4 linked regions of the Cricetulus griseus genome follow. The protein of the gene in region 2 interacts with the protein of the main gene of each other region in a biochemical or structural test. Links are inferred from orthologs where the notes say so. Each region holds a gene or a part of one and is shown on either strand. Other genes may lie near its edges.

Region 1 (3,958 bases), on a different chromosome or scaffold from region 2:
GTTACCATGAAAAGCATCAGGCATATCAAAGTTGAAAGCCTTTGTCCCTTGGGTCCTGCATTGTGTTATATCTCCTTTGTCTGTCTTACCTTTTGAACACATTCTCAAGTAAAATGCAAATTCTAGTTGTCTTAGTCACTGTTCTATTGCTATGTAGACTCCATGACCACAGCAACTCTTACAAAGTAAAACATTTAATTGGAGCTGGCTTACAGTTTCAAGGGTTTAATATTAATACATTATCATGGTGGCAAGAAGCATGGCAGCATGCAGGCAGACATGATGCTGGAGAGATAGCGGAACAGCTATCTGAAACAGCAGGAAGAAAGAGGCACTGAGCCTGACTTGAGCATTTGAAACCCCAAAGCTCATCCCTAGTGACACACTTCCTTCAGTAAGGCCATTATCTCCTAATCCCTGTCAGGGCACACCACTTGCTAGTGACCAAGCATTCAAATATATGAGCCTATGAGGGCCATTCCTATTCAAACCACCTCATCAGTGAACTTTTTAAAATTTATTTTCGTTTGTTTGATTGGTTTGTTGTTGTTGTTGAGACAGGGTTTCAATGTATAGCCCTGGCTGTCCTGGAACTCACTCTGTAGGCCAGACTGGCCTCCTAAGTGCTGGAATTAAAGGCATATGCCACCACTGCCCAACTGAATATATTTTATGGGTTCTTAATAGTTTTCTTTCCACCAAAATAATTAGGACTCAAACAACAGTGAGAAGAGAGGTCACCACAACAAAGGACCCCAATCCTGGACCATTCTCAAGTCCCCTGACATATGTTTTCTCTGGGTTTCCTCATTCACAAGATGAACATGACACTGTGTCCCATGCCTAGCTTGGAAGATCCTGCAGCTCAAAGGAAAACATAGACACAGAGTATCATTATGTATTACTATTACCTTTTGGGACTGATGCCCCATGGGGTGGAAAGTGATCTAAGCTCGCCTTCCTGAACAGCCATAGCCTGCTCATTTGGTGTTGTGTTATGGTTTGGGGGGACTTGGGTGTGATCCATGTCACCTCTGCATTATCAGGCCTGTCTGTGGCTTTATTGGAGTTTAGTGTAAACTTTCTCCTTGGACAGTCTCTTTAGTCTGTTCTCTGTACATGTTGCCCCACATCTAATCTGAACCCCACATCTAGACTAAAGGATACTTACAGCCTTGTGGAGATACTCAATAGTCACCTCTGGATTCATCACTCTCTATTCTTCCCTTTTCCTGTGAAGTCTCTTAATGGCATATGCAGGCTATTGCCTGACCCTTGTTAGCACATGTGCTGTTGCTCCATGCTCAGAGTTGGCCTCCAGAGTGAGCTCCCTTTTCCACCTCTAGTGCCTCCTGGCTAAGCAAAAGAGATGAGGTTCAGCATAGCACAGCACAGCACAGCACAATTCTGCCCTTGGGACTTGATTTCACCCCTGCCTAGGACTCTTTGAGTCTCTTTGCAACCTGTCTTAGCAAACTTCTTGAAGTTCCTGGGTGTCTGACAGTTTCCTTTGTCTGGAATGTAATCCCTCCCACCCCAGACTATGCCTTTGGCTCATATTACTGTGAACTTCTCCAAAGATGTCCTTGAACAGTCTGAGTAAGCACTGTTTTCTTCCATACCCCTGATGCTTGGGCTTCTGGGTCAGAAGGCTCTTCTAATGATTGCGTATTCCTCCCATTGCTGTGTTCCCTAGCACATGAAGCATAGTGGTTTAGATAATACAAGTAGTTCTAGACCTGTGTTTGCTCTGTGCCACCCACCCGCTGGAGATTAACCCTGTTGGTCTCCTTGTCTCTCTTACAGATGATGTGCTGACTAAAGATGCGGGTGAGTGTGTGATCTGCCTGGAAGAGCTGCTTCAGGGGGACACGATAGCCAGGCTGCCTTGCCTGTGCATCTATCACAAAAGGTACAAGGGGTAGATTGCCTTCACCAGCCATCCAGTCCTCTTTGGTTATGGGATGGCCTGTATACCCTTTACTCTCTGATAGGAGTCAGGCATCTTCCATGCTGGTGGGAGGCTCAGTCATTGCAAGGGCAGGGGGGAGGTGAATTGCCCAAGGTTCAGCTCTGCTTCAGCAGTTCAGATGGTAGAGCCATGGGCAGACCTAATTTAGATCCCACCTCTGAACCCTATCTGGCAGAGAGAGAGGTAGCAAGGGTAGAATGGCTATTCTTGCTGATCTGCACAACACCCTCCTCCCCCAAGGGCCAGGAGGCAGGAAAAGCCACTACCTGTAAGTACCAAAAACTGCTATAATTAGCCAGGTCAAGATTTGTCCTTTGCCTTCAGCAGTATCCTTCTGGGGTTTTTGTTTGTTTGTTTGATTTTCTAACTGGAAAAATGACACCTCCTTGCCCAGGACAGGAGTACACCCTGTGTTCCTGTGGCTACCATCTGCTTCTCCAGCCCACAGTTTCCTAGTATGGGGGCTTTTCTAAGCCCAACCTATGACTATTGGTCTTTGGTGTCATAGCTGTGCCTGGTGTGTGATTGACTTACGGGGGAACTGTGGTTCTTGTTTTGGTTACCACCATAGATCCCTGTATCATCCCAAAGGGGCACTAACCAGAACCAGGAAGACATAAGCAAATTATCTGTTTGGTTACTCTCTTTAAAAATGCCCAGATGTGGGTTTACACATCAGGACAGTTTCTTGAGGCACTTGCTGTTTCTTCTTTGATGCAGACAGACCTCTATAAACTCTAGAGAGTGAGGCCTTCCTACACTGCTTCCCAGGCTTCCTTATTTAGCAGTGTCAAAGAGCCCAAGGGTCTAGCTCCCCTTCCTACTGTTGTAGCTAAGCTAGGAAGGCTTGGAGCTCCTGAGAGGGGTGCCCTCATCGCCCCAGATCTGGCCATGCTTATCGCTGCCAGCCTCTCATCTGGTCCCACTTCCTGCCGCTCCTTAGAAACAGGTAACAGGCTACCATATGTAGTCCACCTGCTTTCACCTTCTTAGTGTTAACTGTTGCTGTCCTGGCTTCTTGTACTTGGGATTTGGGCCACTCTTGTCCTTTCTGCAAAGTCAGATCTACCAGAGCCTGCCCTACTGCCCCTGCCTCCTGCTGAGCCAGGATCATTCTTGGATTTTTTTTTTTTCTTCTTAAAAAACTTATTTATTTGATTTATTAAGGCAGGGTCTCACTATGTAGATTAGGCTGGCCTTGAACTTACAGAGATCACCTGCTTTTGCCTCCTGAATACTGGGGTTAAAGTTGTGTACCACCATCATACTCACCTTATTTTATTTGATGTGCATATACTTACATGATGTGTGTGCCTGGTGCCCACTGAGACCAGAAGAGGGCATTGAATCCCCAGGAGCTAGAGTTAAAGATGTTTGTGAGCCACTATGTGAGTGCTAAGAACTGAACCTTGCTCTTCTGAAAGAGCAGCTAGGGCTCTTAACCACTGAGCTATCTCCCCAACCCCCAGGGTCGTGTGTGTATGTGTGTGTGTGTGTGTGTGTGTGTGTGTGTGTGTGTGTGTTAGTGTTATAATGTGTGTGTGTGTGTTATAATATGTGTGTGTGTTATAGTGTGTGTGTGTGTGTGTGTGTGTGTGTGTGTGTGTGTGTGTGTGTATTAGTTTTAAATTGTGTGTATGTGTGCGCATCTGTGTGTACATGCATCTGAGTGCAGGATCCTACCAAGGCCAGAGGAGTCAGATCCCCCTGGGGTTGCCTTTATGGGGCTGTGAACTGAACTTGGATCATCTGGAAGAGCAGTGTGCACTCTCAATCACTGACCCTACTCTCCAGCTCCACCTCCACCCCTGTACATTCATCATTCTTGATATTGTTCCCTTTCCTGCAGCAACGAGTAATGATTTTCCCCCGGGGTCCTTTCAGGAGAGATTTAGAAAGTCCGTCCCGAGAGTCTAACCCCTTGACAGGCGCCCTTGGCAGGAGCAGTGTTGTCAGCAGCTGATGTGTCTCCCCTTGGTACCCACT
Region 2 (4,645 bases):
TGGAAGCAGCAACAGCCCCTTAAGTCTCATGAAAGGAGCTGGAGAAACGGTTCTGCAGTAAAGAGCACTTGGTTCTCTGGCAGAGGACCCACCTGGAGGCTCACAACCATTCTTAAGTCCAGTTCTGTGGATCTGGCCCCTGAAGGCACCAAACCATGTATGTTAGTGTTGTTAACTTGATAGAATCTAGAAACACCTAGGGAAAAAAGCCTCTGGGCATGCCTGTGGGGGACTTAATTGATGTATGGACACCCATCTTAATTGTGGTTGTCACCTGGGCTGTATAAACAGAGAGGTAAGCACTAGCATGAAAAATTCGATGTGACCAGCTGTCCTTAACTATGGTGATTATCCCCTTTGAACTGAAATTAACCCCTTTTCCTTTAAGTTGCCTTGTGGAGTATTGTGGTGATATTTTATGATCTAATAAAGCTTGCTTGAAGATCAGAGTGCAAAGCTAGCCACAGCCATTCAGGCCAGACAGTTGGTGGCACACACCTTTAATCCCAGAAGACAGAGGCAGATGGATCTGCGTTCACCACCACCCTAGGAAAACCTGTAGGGAGGTGGAGAGAGAGGAATCATAAGGCAGAAGGAGACAGGAAAGCTTGGATTTAGAGGTTGGTGGAGAGCAATGCAGTCTGAGGACAAGGATCTCCCCTTCCTTCTGAGCTTTGGTAGAGGTGAGAACTCTCTAGTGGCTGGCCACTTTGTTTTTCTGATCTTCAGCCTTAACCTCAATATCTGTCTCTGAGTTTTTATTATCAATATCAACTATTATTCGTGCTACAGGATATTTTATCACAGCAACAGGAAAAGAAATGAAAACACCCAACAATCCCTTTTGGGACCCCTCCACTTTTAGGGCCTTCACTCTGAAGGTACTCCTACTCCTTTAGGGATTACTCCCCTACTTGTTGCAAATCCTTTTGGGGTGGGGGACAGGTCGGAGAGCCCCCCTCCCTTTTTTTGTTGATTGTTTGCTTATCAAGACAGGGCTTCTCTGTGTAACTTTGGAGCCTGTCCTGCAACTTGCTTTTTAGACCAGGCTGACCTCGAACTCAGAGATCCTCCCGCCTCCGCCTCCTAAGTGCTGGGATTAAAGGCGTGCGCCACACCGCCAGGCGAGGCCCCCCCCCTTTTTTTTTTATGTGAAATTAAAACATTTAGAATTATTTGTCAGGGCCTTGACAACCAGTTTCCCAGTTAGAAGCTTTGCCATCGAGTGCTTCTCGTTTGGAACAAGCCCCCCGATCACCAGGTCGACGGAGATGCGGCGCAGCGTCAGCCCGCCGCGCAATGCGGGAACATTGAATGAACAAATGGAACGAATGAATGAATGAGCTACGCCGGGGGCCGGGCCTTTGTTACGTCGCCCACCGGCGCAGGCGTGGTCGGTCGCACGTACGCTACTCGTGGACGCCGGACACCCAGTCTCGCGCAGATTCTGCCGCGGGCGAAGCAGCTCGGCGCTGCCTGGCGCCGCCTCCCCCAAGTCCCTGCCCCGCCGCGGAGCGTCACTTCCGCCACCCCCGGCTGGGGTTGGGGCGGGGAGTGCGGGGGAGGGGGCCATCAGGTCGGACGGAAGGCCGCCCGAAGCCCGCGTCCAAGCAGGGACTACATTTCCCGAGGGGCCTCGGCGGAGGCAGCGGCGGCGGGCGCGGCGACGTCCCCCGGAAGTGGAGTCCGGGACTTCCACTCGTGCGTGAGGCGAGCGGAGCCGGAGACAAGAGCAGAGGCCGAACTCGGGATCTGACAAGATGGCCGGGCTGCCCCGCAGGATCATTAAGGTAACCGCCCAGGCGGGCTTCGGGCCTCCCGCTCGGCTCTCCTCCACCAACGCGCCGGGCCGCGCGGCCATACGCTTCACTCGGCAGCCGCTGAGGGGCCCGAGGCATCGCGGAGAAGGGTCTGGCCTCGGCGGCGGGGAAGTCGGGCGCTGAGGAGGGGGCGCCGAGGAGACTTCCGGCCGCCGCTGAAAGCCGGACGCCGGGGGCTCTCGGGCTGCGAGGCCGCGCGCGGCACGGGAGGCCAGGCCGGTGCCGGTGCCGGGTGGAGGGCGGGGCTGCGGGCTTGGCGTCTGGCGCGGGACCGGCGCGGGCCTCGCCAGGCTTTCTTCACCCGCGGGCGGGAATCGCGGCGTGGCCTGGACTCCGGGCGTGGGTTGTGGCCTGGGCTGGCCGCTTCGCCCCGGAGCCCCCTTCTCCTGGTCGGCGGTCTCGGGTGCAGAATGAATGAACCGGCCCCGAGAACCGGGCGGGGCCGCGGGCCGCGAGTCCAGCCGCCGACCGCACATGTTCGTCCTGGCTGCCCGCGGTCGGCGGCGCCGGGGGCTTGGCGCCCGGGTGGGTGTCCTGCCCGCCGTGTTCGCTTCCCCGCGTTGCTGCCGGTTATCTCCGCGAAGTGATTTTACTCCGGTTGGCAAACTCTTTTTTCTTTTCTTTCTTTATTTTTTTGGCCAACTGTTTTCTGTTCCGAGGCACTGGTTCAGCCCAAAGCATCTCGGTTATGGGGATGATCTGTAATAGTTCGCCTCTGTTTTCGTGCGCCTTCCGTATACTAAGCGGTCTCGAGGCTCTTTAGGAATACTGTGTTTTGGTGAGTACGTATGGAACCATGAAAAAACTCGTATCTTGATTTTCTGAAGTCTTTACATAACAGCGTTGAGACTTCAGACACGATAGGCATCTGTTTTTATGAAGGATATTTAGTTAAAAAAAAAAAAACCCTACACTGCTCACCATGCCAGTGATATGCCCATATTGAAGCTTCGTTTTGCTTGCTGTAATCTAGTGAGCTTGAATTTACAGCACTGTTCACTCTTCTGAAGTTTTGGGCGAGATTTGTACTAATTATATCGAGGGCCCCTTTGAAGGATGTGATGCACTGTCTAGTCCCTCGGGCAGTCACAAATGGGTGTGAGGTTGGGTGTATGACAGAAAGGTGCTTAAATTAGAAAACAAGACCATTTATAAGACATTCTTAGGAAGAAAGAATAAATTGTCAACGAGCACTGTAGTCTTGACATAAACTTTTACTGCTATATTATGAATCTCAGATTCTTTCAAAGTAGATTTTAATTGTTAGGTCGTGCGTTGGAAAGTCCTGACTCGTTTAATTCTGATACAGAGACATGAACACTAGTGATCATGTTAATCAGGATTCCATTTGAAAAATGATTGCTTCCCACCAGACCACCGGGTTTTTATTGTTTGGTTAGGGACTAAACATACCACAGATTGATAATGAATATAATTCTCTAAAATTCACACTGAACCTAACAGTTGGTGTAGTTTTTTTTTTTTTTTTTGATTTTTGCTTGATTGTGAAGATTAATATTCTGCAGTAATACAAAAGTCTTGATTGGGAAAATAAATTCTGTGGAATATTGGCTATAAATTTACAGAAATGGTTTAAAGTAGGATGTTGAGGAGCTTGTTTAATTCATTTGGTACACAATGCTTAAGCATATATTCAGTGTTGCCATTTTGCTATTTTAAAACAAGGTAGTGGTAAACTCGTGCTGAGACATACAATCTTTACAGTATTTTATTGCACCCACCTCTAATTTATGTAATATTAATTGACTTCAGTACTTATAGCTTTAAAGGATTTTTTTTTTTTCCCCCATCAATAGGGCAGGTTAAGAGATTAGAATAATTTTTTTGTTTGTTTTCGAAGCAGGGTTTCTCTGTGTAGCTTTGGAGGTTGTACTGGAACTCACTCTGTAGACCAGGCTGGCCTGGAACTCCCAGAGATCCTCCTGCCTCTTCCTCCCCAGTGCTGGGATTAAAGGTGTGTGCCACTGACACCCCCTAGAATAATTTTTAGATCCATTTTTATATTATGTAGGTTCTATAATCAGTTAAAAATATGCTTTTTCTACTGTTAGGGATTGAATTGAAACTAGCTAGGACTTTGTATGTGCTCTGCAAATGCTTTACCACCAAGCAACACCTCAAGCAGAAAACGTATTTACATTAAAATTTATTTTGAAAAGTAACTTTTGGGCCAGAGAGTGCTCAGATATGGTGCTTGCAAGCTTTCTGAGTTCTACCCTTAATACTGCACACAAACCAGTTTTGGTATTGTATTTAAGTGTTACTTTTTTTTTTCCCCCCAAGACAGGGTTTCTCTTTGGAGCCTGTCCTGGCACTCGTCTGTAGACCAGGCTGGCCTGGAACTGACAGAGACCCACCTGCCTCTGCCTCCCGAGTGCTGGGATTAAAGATGTGTGCCACCACACTTGTCTGTCATGGTGTTTTATACTTATGATTCTAATGTAATAGAGGAAGGAGGGTTTAGAAGTTTATCATCCCTGGCTGCTTAGGGGGTTGAGGCCTGTCTAGAATATATGAGACTTTGTTTCAAACAGGTTAATACAATACTGGGGTCTATGTGACTAGAACAGTAAGTGGGTAAGGGTCGATGAAGCCATAGGGACATACTTTTTTCTATTGGATTATTTTATTTCTTGGTAGACTTTGGCTTTCAAAGGATAATATTTACTATTGCTAATAGTCTTTTTTTAAATTTTGAGACAATATTCCATGTAACTTGTGTTGGCCTCAAACTCAGATTTCCCTGCTGCTGCCTTCCCGTTCTGAAACTAAAAGTATAGGACACTATACCTCGCAATATTACT
Region 3 (3,958 bases), on a different chromosome or scaffold from region 2:
CCTGCTGTCAGGGTCTTGCCGGTTTTGGGACTACTTTTAAAAATATTACCTAATGATGTTTTTTAAAAGCCTAGTGGAGGCTGGAGGAGAAGAAGGCTTAGCAGATAGAGGTGCTTGTTGCCGAGCCTGGTGATTGAGTTAAATTCTGGCACCATTTTGGCGGAAGGAGAGAACTGACTCCAGCCAAATTGTCCTCCTGTGGAAGGCTTCCTCACATAGGTGCACATACACCCCAATGCAAATAAATGTTGTTTAAAAAAATGTAAAGCCTGTTTTAAAAAGTAGCATCATTTAAGGTCACTTCTGTTTGTCTCCAGCTGCACTGTGGCAGGTTTTTTGAACTGATGACATCAGTGGGCGCTCCTGCCTACCAGTGAAACAAACACCAGAGAGCTATAGTGTGTGGGGCTGTGTGATTAGCCAGGACTGTGGTGACTCCAGTGTAAAGCCACAGCTTGCAGGTTTTAGGAGAGATAATAGGTATGAATCTTGACAGTTGCTCCAACTGCCTCTCAAACTCAGTCCCCAGCATAGTTGCCTGGTTATTGGGGACCACCTTTTGAGGATCCCAGAGTGGTTGTGGGGGCACAGACATGTCTGAGTGTGCCCCACACCATCTCAGCACCAGGGGCCTCCACTGTGCTCCCGGCTTGCTCCAGCTGTGGTCTTCAAAGCCCAAGTGGATAGAAAACGCTGGATTGGTGATGGCAGCAGAGTCCATTGCTCCATCCCAGAGCACTGGGCACTGTGGCTTTGGCTTCGTGGATAGTTAAAGTCAGTTGTAGATCAAGATGTTTTCAGTGTGCATTCCTTAAGACAGAGGCACTCTGCAGTCACTGCCGCTAATGTTAGCTGAATTCTTAGATTTCTTAAGCTAAGAATTTTAGCTTAAGAATTTTATGGCTACTTTTAAATCAGAACACACACACACAAACACACACACACACCTACCTCTACCTCTCCCTCTCCCTCTGTTGAAAGTGTGAGAGAGAAATTTAACTGAGCCCAGTGTGCTGGTGTACACTTTAATCTCAGGAACTGACAGGCTGAGAGAGGAGGGGACCTCAAGTTGGAGTCAGTCTGGATAGACTGTCTTGAAAACAATTCAGCCAGGTGTGGTGGCAACACCTACAATCCCAGAAGCAGCTAGAAGGCTGGGGCCAGGGGGCCTTGGAGGTCAGTCTGGGCTCATGTAGCAAAATGCTTTTTAAAAAATTTTTAAATTTTTAAAAAATGGAGAGGTGGCTTAGCACTGGCTGCTCTTGCAGAGGACCTGGGTTCAGTTCCTAGTACCCATGTGGTGGCTCACAATTGTAACTCCAGTTCTAGGAGATGCAATGCCCTTTCTGGGTCTCCTTGGACACAACATTTATGTGCATAGACAGATAGGCAAAACACATGTAAAATAAAAATGAAATCTTTAAACTCCCTAACCTAAAACAGCCGAAGGGTTAAAGATCCCAGTGAAATTGATGCAGTATGGACTGCCTCCCGCAGCTTGTAGCCCCTTACATTTCATTATTATCTTTTATTTTAGAGGCACTCATATTTAAATATCCATCCCCCCATTCCCTCACCCTCCCGCCCTCCCTTGTTCCCTTGGGGGAGGGCCTAAGCCCTCCTTGCTGTATCTGGGCTGCAATAGTCTCCCTCCATAGGGAATGGGCTCCCAAAGTCCATTTGTGCTCTAGGGTTAAAGACTGGCTCCACTGTCAGAGGTCTCATAGACTGCCCTGGCCTCCTAGCTGGCGCCCACATTCAGAGTGCTTGGTTTGGTCCAATGCTGTTTCCCCAGCTTTATGACGAGGGTCTCCATGCTCTCACTAGGTCAGGTCAACTGTTTCTCCAGCAGTCTTGGCTCCTTTGCTCATCCCTCCTCCCTTTCTGCAAAAGGATTCCAGGAGTATTGTTCAGTGCTTAGCTGTGGGTGCCTGTTTCTGCTTCGAACAGCTACTGGATGAAGGCTCTAGGAATAGTATCCAGGGTAGACATCATTCTCATTATAGGGGAAGGGCATCAATGGCATCCTCTCCACCACTGCCTGGATTCTTAGTTGGGGTCATCCCTGTGGATCCCCTAACATTTCCCCTGCGCCAGACCTCTCTCCACACGTGCACTGTCTCCCTCTATGAAGGCCTCTCCTTTCTTGCCCTCCTCTGTTCCTCCCCTGTCTCAGGCCTCTTGTTCTCCTCCCCACTCTCTTTCTTCTCTTCCCACCTCCTTTCTCCCCCCACTCCAACTTTGCTCAGGGGTTCTTGTCCACCTCCCCTTCTTCAAGGAACTATGCAATCTTCTCTTGGGGTCCTCCTCGTTTCCTAGCTCCTCTGGCAGTATGGATTGTAGACTGGTAATCCTTTGATGTCTAAAAATCACATATGAGTAATACAATGTTTGTCTTTTTTGTGACTGGGTTACCTCACTCAGGATGGTTTCTTCTAGTTCCATCCATTTTCCTGCAAATTTCAAGATTCCATTGTTTTTTTTCTTCTCAATAGTTCTCCATTGTGTAAATGTACCACATTTTCTCTATCCTTTCTTCAGTTGAGGGACATCTAGGTTGCTTCCCGGTTTTGGCTATTTCAAATAATGCTGCTATGAACATAGTTGAACAGATGTCCTTATTGTATGAATGTGCATTCTTTGGGTATATGCCCAAGAGTGGAATTGCTGGATCTTGAGGTAGACTGATTCCCATTTTCCTGAGACCACCATACTGATTTCCAAAATGTTGTACAAGTTTGCACTCCCACCAGCAGTGGAGAAGTGTTCCCCTTTCTCCACATCCTCTCCAGCATAAACTGTCATTAGTGTTATGATTTAGCCATTCTGACAGGAGTAAGATGGTGTCTCAGAGTGGTTTTGAGTTGCATTTCCCTGATGGCCAAGGATGTTGAGCTCTTCCAGCCATTTTAGATTCCTCTGTTAACGATTCCTCTCTAGGGCATATACCCAAAGAATGCACCGTCTAAAATGACCCCTTGTATTTCCAAGACTTTCCTTTTCTATCCCCGCTTCACTGAGACAATCTCACACTAGCCCAGGTTGGCTTTGAGCCTGTCAGTCCTCTTGCCTCATCCTACCGGATGTTGGAATTACAGGTGTGACCTGAGAGCTCATGCGGACTCCAAAGAATGTTTACAGAGAACACTGCATAGCAACTTCGTCATTGTTTTCTGGGATGGGTCTTGCTTCAAAGCCCAGCCTGGCTTTGGGATGAGAGAAGAACATTGTTTTCTTTAGATTTCCTAAGAGGTCCTGGGGTTGGTCTGGGGGAGGCGTGGTGGCTAGCGTGTGACCTTACACACTCCCTGCCATCCATTCCCTACAAGTGGGGATGCAGGTGAGCACCTGTGTGACAGCAGTTCCTGGGTCTGGGGTGCTCACACCACGTGATCATGTATGTCAGAGTGCGTCAACCTTGGTTTCAGGAGAACCACACTGTGTGGCACCCTGGACTACCTGCCGCCCGAGATGATTGAAGGCCGGATGCATGATGAGAAGGTGGACCTCTGGAGCCTGGGTGTCCTGTGCTATGAGTTCCTGGTTGGGATGCCTCCTTTCGAGGCACACACCCACCAGGAGACCTACAGAAGGATATCACGGGTAAGGCGCTGCTCCTCAGTCCCTGCCCTGCCGAGGGCTGCTGTTGACTGGTGCACACCTCTGACTCTTGTTAGTGTCATTTTGTCATTTATTTTGCAGGTTGAGTTCACATTCCCTGACTTTGTGACTGAGGGAGCCAGGGACCTCATTTCAAGACTGTTAAAGCACAACTCAAGTCAGAGGCTAACACTAGCAGAAGTCCTTGAGCATCCCTGGGTCAAAGCTAATTCCTCAAAACCTTCGGCTGGCCAAAAAAGCAAAGAGCTAACTAGTACATCATCTTAGGGAATCTGGAACCCTGGCCTCTGTGCAGCTGTGAGAAACGCCCCATCAAGAGAGACCTGGGGACCATCAT
Region 4 (3,958 bases), about 97 Mb from region 2:
GCAGCAAACTACTCATCATAATCAAAGCTCAAAGATGAAGCAAGCGTTTTTGTTGTTGTTGTTGCTGTTGTCTGTTTTTGAGACAGGGTCTCGATCTGTAGATTAGGCTGACCTTGAACTCACACTCATAAATATTCCCCTGCTTCTGCTTCCAAGTGCTGGGATTAAAGGTGTGTGCCACTACGTCCAGCTGAAGCAAGTTTTAAAGATACACAACAGCACATAAGAGGTAGCCATACAAAAGCAGCCACAGTGTCCAACAACAAATTACAAGCAGTCTTCTAGGGGACTTGATGCTGTGTCACTATTTTGTCAAGTGGATGTTTTTTGCTTTAGACTGACATTCTCAAACTGACCTAAAATGCTCGACTGGAACACTCTTGAATGGTTTCTGGATGCCACAGTGCAGGGATAGTGAGGTACAAAGGCCCTCAGGCCCAGACCTTAGCTAACATCTCCCCTCCCCTCAGTTGTCCTCACTATTCCAGAGAGCTCCCCAGTTTCTACAGGGTGTTCCGTCATCACCAGAGTGGCTCCTGCTTGATGAAGAAGACCTGTGTTTCCATGCTGAGATCTGGTGTGTATCTGTGAGGCTACAAGTCTCCAAGCTGATGGTGAGAGCATCTGCTACCTGTTCTGTTTGCAGGCTGGAGATCACAGAGCAGTAGGTTAAGAGGTGGAGGCAGCTAGTGGCCAGTGATGCCTGCCATTCCCCACTCGCCAACTACCACAGCCTCTGGAAATGGGAGAGATTTAGGTTACCTCCTGCAGAGCCTGGACCAGCTGCTGCTTCAGGTCCTCTTCTCCTTGCTCTTTCTCCAAACCCTGAAAAGCCAAAACAAGATGAAGGTTTCCCTGCAGTCGACAGGGAAAGGGAACAAAATCCTGCAAGAAGCAGATGTGACAAGGAACAGCATGGGGCAGGGAGCGACAGAAAAATCCCCATTTTCCTTCAAGCTGTTGTCAGCAAAGGCTCTGAACAGTGTTACTTGCTCAAGCACTGCATGCTCAGGGATGTCACCTTCAAGCCACCAGCCGAGTGGCCTTGAAGACCACTGGGTGACAGTTTAAGCTTCTTCTATTACCTAATGCCATGATACTCAAATGGCTAAAACTGAGCCACAAGTGCAACCCCCCAGGCCGGCACCCACCACGTTTCCATGCTCTGTCTCTCCACACTGACCACACTCCACAAGCCACTTTCTCTCTGCCCTAGCCTGAACCTCTGTCAACTTTCCTCTGCAGCCATTCAAACTGCCACTCATCTGTGGCCAGCTTCTTCCACACAGCCTGTGTTCTCTCTGCCTTAGGGATTACCTACAGGGTGGGAGATTTTGAATCGTTCATAATTTAATGCACCACCCTGAAAACCATTTTTCCAATGTTACCGCATATATTGTCTCAACAAGATAAATTACAACGATTAAAAACAACACTAAGTCGGGAGCAGAGGCAGGCGGGTCTCTGTGAGTTCGAGACCAGCCTGGTCTACAAAGAGCGAGTTCCAAGACAGCCTCCAAAGTCACAGAGCAATCCTACCTCAAAAAACCACCTAAAAAAACAAAAAACAAAAAACAAAAAAACTAAGCATTTTAATACCAAGCAGAATTCCAAATAGAGTGTCAGGCAATATGGTGCTCCAAACACCAAGCATGAAGCAGGGGGCAACAGCTTCTGGAATGGTGACAGGCCAGGCTACACCCAGGGCAGAGGGAGATGCAGCTGACACAAAGAACCCAATTTGCTTCTCGAAGTCAGGCAAAAAAAAAAAAAAAAAAATCGCTAAACCAGTCTCCCCGTCTTTATCCGTCTGCTCCAAAAAAAAAAAAAAAAAAAAAAAAGACTTCGAAGCTGTATCTTTAGCCCACAGTGTAGCCACGCCACGCATGTTAACTCTAGGCACAAAGCAGACAGGGAAACAGAAGCCAAGCACGTCCACCACACATGACCTGAACACACCTATATAGCCAATGGCTTTAGCTAATCCGACCAGTTCAAGGGGATGGCAGAGATTAGAATGAAATTTATAAATTCTCCAGAAATAAGCTCACACTATTACAGGCTGTTCCTTGCCCAGAGAGACCCAAGCAGGATAAAAACACCTTTCACCTCAGCTGTACTGATCCTTCTTGGTTCTAAGTCGGCAGTAGGGAATTGACACTCACCATTACCTAAACAACTGATAAGGCTCCTGCCACACAGGAAGTGACATTTTAAACAGGGACAGGATTATTTGGAGATGAGCACATTCGTGGTCCTTTCTCCGAACCACTCAGATACATCTTATCACTCAGCCGATTGTGTACCTTTCCATGGCATTCTGACTGACCAAAATAGGAACAAAACCATCATCCCCCTGATGGAGGATGTCCTTCTGGATATGTTTTCTCTTATTGGTTGATGAATAAAACATTGTGGCCAATAGAGGCAGGGAGATGGGCGGGACTAGGAGACAAGGAGAATTCTGGGAAAGGTAGGCAGAGAAATCCCACTAGGAGATCACATGTAATCACCAAAGGAGTTAAGAGGTCCGGACCCTTCTCTGGTAAGATAAGACCACGTGGAAATACTTAGATTAATAGAAATGGGTTAGTAATTAAGACATCGCTAGCCAATAAGAAGCCCTAGCCATTGGCCAACAGTTTTATAATTAATATAACATCTGTGTGTTTATTTTGGGGCAAATCGGTTGAGGGACTAGACGAAAGAAACCAAGAGCAACATCTCCTCACCCCACCCCTGTTAGCTAGTCAGTCTTACAGCCAACAAGCTGCCATGTACAAGGACAGTACAATGAGCTGATCTGCACTTGCTCTGGTCTGTGACTTGGTTTTAACTACATAGAGCAAAGCAATGAGTCCTGAGGACATTACGGTTTCGTGGTATCCTGCTCTTTATCCAGCTTTTCCCTGAATTTATCTTGGATCTGAAACACCTCAGCTTTCCATCAGAGATCAGTCACATCCCAGCTGGCTTCTGAGCCACCTTCCTCATCTTGGTACCCTAACTGGCTCCTGACCTCATCTGTGTGCTGAAACTGTAAACCTTTGCAAAACTCTGTCTTGGCTTTCTGCTCCCACTCTGTCTCCAAAGTTTAGCATCTGGTCCCTGCTTCAGAGACAACTCTAGCCAGAAGTTCACAACGCGCCTGCCCAGCTGAGGGGACCTCTGCCTGCTACATCTCTGTGGTACCTGGAGGTGATGCTCCTCTTCCTGGAAGGTCTTCTCCAGCTGCTCCACTCGGGCTTGCTGCTGAGCCTGCTCCGAATAAAGCTGAGACTGTAAATCCTGCAGCTCCTTCTCCATCCTCACGATCTTCTTCGAGCTCCCCTTTCGGGTCTGCCTCCTCACGCTCAGGACAGCCATCTGCTTCTCGTGCATCTGGGTTTTCAGCTTCAGAATCCTGGACATGTTCACCTTAAACAGCTCAAGGCTGCTCTGAGACGCTGAGGGGTGGGAGGCCTTCTGCTTCTTAGGGTAGCGTTCGATGACCTTTGGAAGAGTAGGGCAAGCATGAGTCCCAGTGGCCTCGTCACTTGCCTCAAGACAAGTCAACTTAGGACACAAACATCCCAAGGGCTGACTTGCTGCTTCACCTTTCCCAAGTAACTTCACTGGCTCAGCGGCATCACAAGAGGCTGCAGTTACTTTGCACTTGAGATCTGAGGGGCCTTCAGCAGCGGGATGTTCTAATCCATCCAAATTGAACTTCCTTTTAGTTCTCAAGTCTTTATATTTCCCCCCTGTCTGGTCATTCTTTAAGGCAAGGCAGGGAGACAGCCTCTCCCAGTCTTCTTCAATAACTTCATATTCATACTCCGCATTCTCCTTATTTTCCAGTGGCACTCCAAGCTGAATATGGTCTCCCTTTTGGATGCAATAAACCTGTAATGGTGCCAGACGCTCTCTGTTCAGCCAAACACCATTCAGACTCTAGGGAAAAGGAAAGAAAAACAAA

Evidence for each region.
Region 1: the proteins of Ube2n (region 2) and E3 ubiquitin-protein ligase ZNRF1 form a complex in vitro, tested with the Homo sapiens proteins (3 studies listed by BioGRID, with this or other methods). The link is inferred for Cricetulus griseus from reciprocal best matches to the Homo sapiens genes UBE2N and ZNRF1.
Region 3: the proteins of Ube2n (region 2) and Aurka form a complex in vitro, tested with the Homo sapiens proteins (3 studies listed by BioGRID, with this or other methods). The link is inferred for Cricetulus griseus from reciprocal best matches to the Homo sapiens genes UBE2N and AURKA.
Region 4: the proteins of Ube2n (region 2) and Rnf8 form a complex in vitro, tested with the Homo sapiens proteins (7 studies listed by BioGRID). The link is inferred for Cricetulus griseus from reciprocal best matches to the Homo sapiens genes UBE2N and RNF8.

Annotation. Positions count from the first base shown.
Region 1 is NC_048596.1:188,041,583-188,045,540, forward strand, and holds part of E3 ubiquitin-protein ligase ZNRF1, read left to right. Parts: intron 1-1,806; coding exon 1,807-1,912; intron 1,913-3,958. UniProt on the Homo sapiens protein: E3 ubiquitin-protein ligase that plays a role in different processes including cell differentiation, receptor recycling or regulation of inflammation. Mediates the ubiquitination of AKT1 and GLUL, thereby playing a role in neuron cells differentiation.
Region 2 is NW_023276806.1:161,500,606-161,505,250, forward strand, and holds the start of Ube2n (ubiquitin-conjugating enzyme E2 N), read left to right. Parts: upstream 1-1,602; 5' UTR 1,603-1,760; coding exon 1,761-1,790; intron 1,791-4,645. UniProt on the Homo sapiens protein: The UBE2V1-UBE2N and UBE2V2-UBE2N heterodimers catalyze the synthesis of non-canonical 'Lys-63'-linked polyubiquitin chains. This type of polyubiquitination does not lead to protein degradation by the proteasome.
Region 3 is NC_048599.1:6,985,628-6,989,585, forward strand, and holds part of Aurka (aurora kinase A), read left to right. Parts: intron 1-3,428; coding exon 3,429-3,603; intron 3,604-3,702; coding exon 3,703-3,888; 3' UTR 3,889-3,958. UniProt on the Homo sapiens protein: Mitotic serine/threonine kinase that contributes to the regulation of cell cycle progression.
Region 4 is NW_023276806.1:258,085,087-258,089,044, reverse strand, and holds part of Rnf8 (E3 ubiquitin-protein ligase RNF8), read right to left. Parts: intron 3,934-3,958; coding exon 3,193-3,933; intron 826-3,192; coding exon 763-825; intron 1-762. UniProt on the Homo sapiens protein: E3 ubiquitin-protein ligase that plays a key role in DNA damage signaling via 2 distinct roles: by mediating the 'Lys-63'-linked ubiquitination of histones H2A and H2AX and promoting the recruitment of DNA repair proteins at double-strand breaks (DSBs) sites, and by catalyzing 'Lys-48'-linked ubiquitination to remove target proteins from DNA damage sites.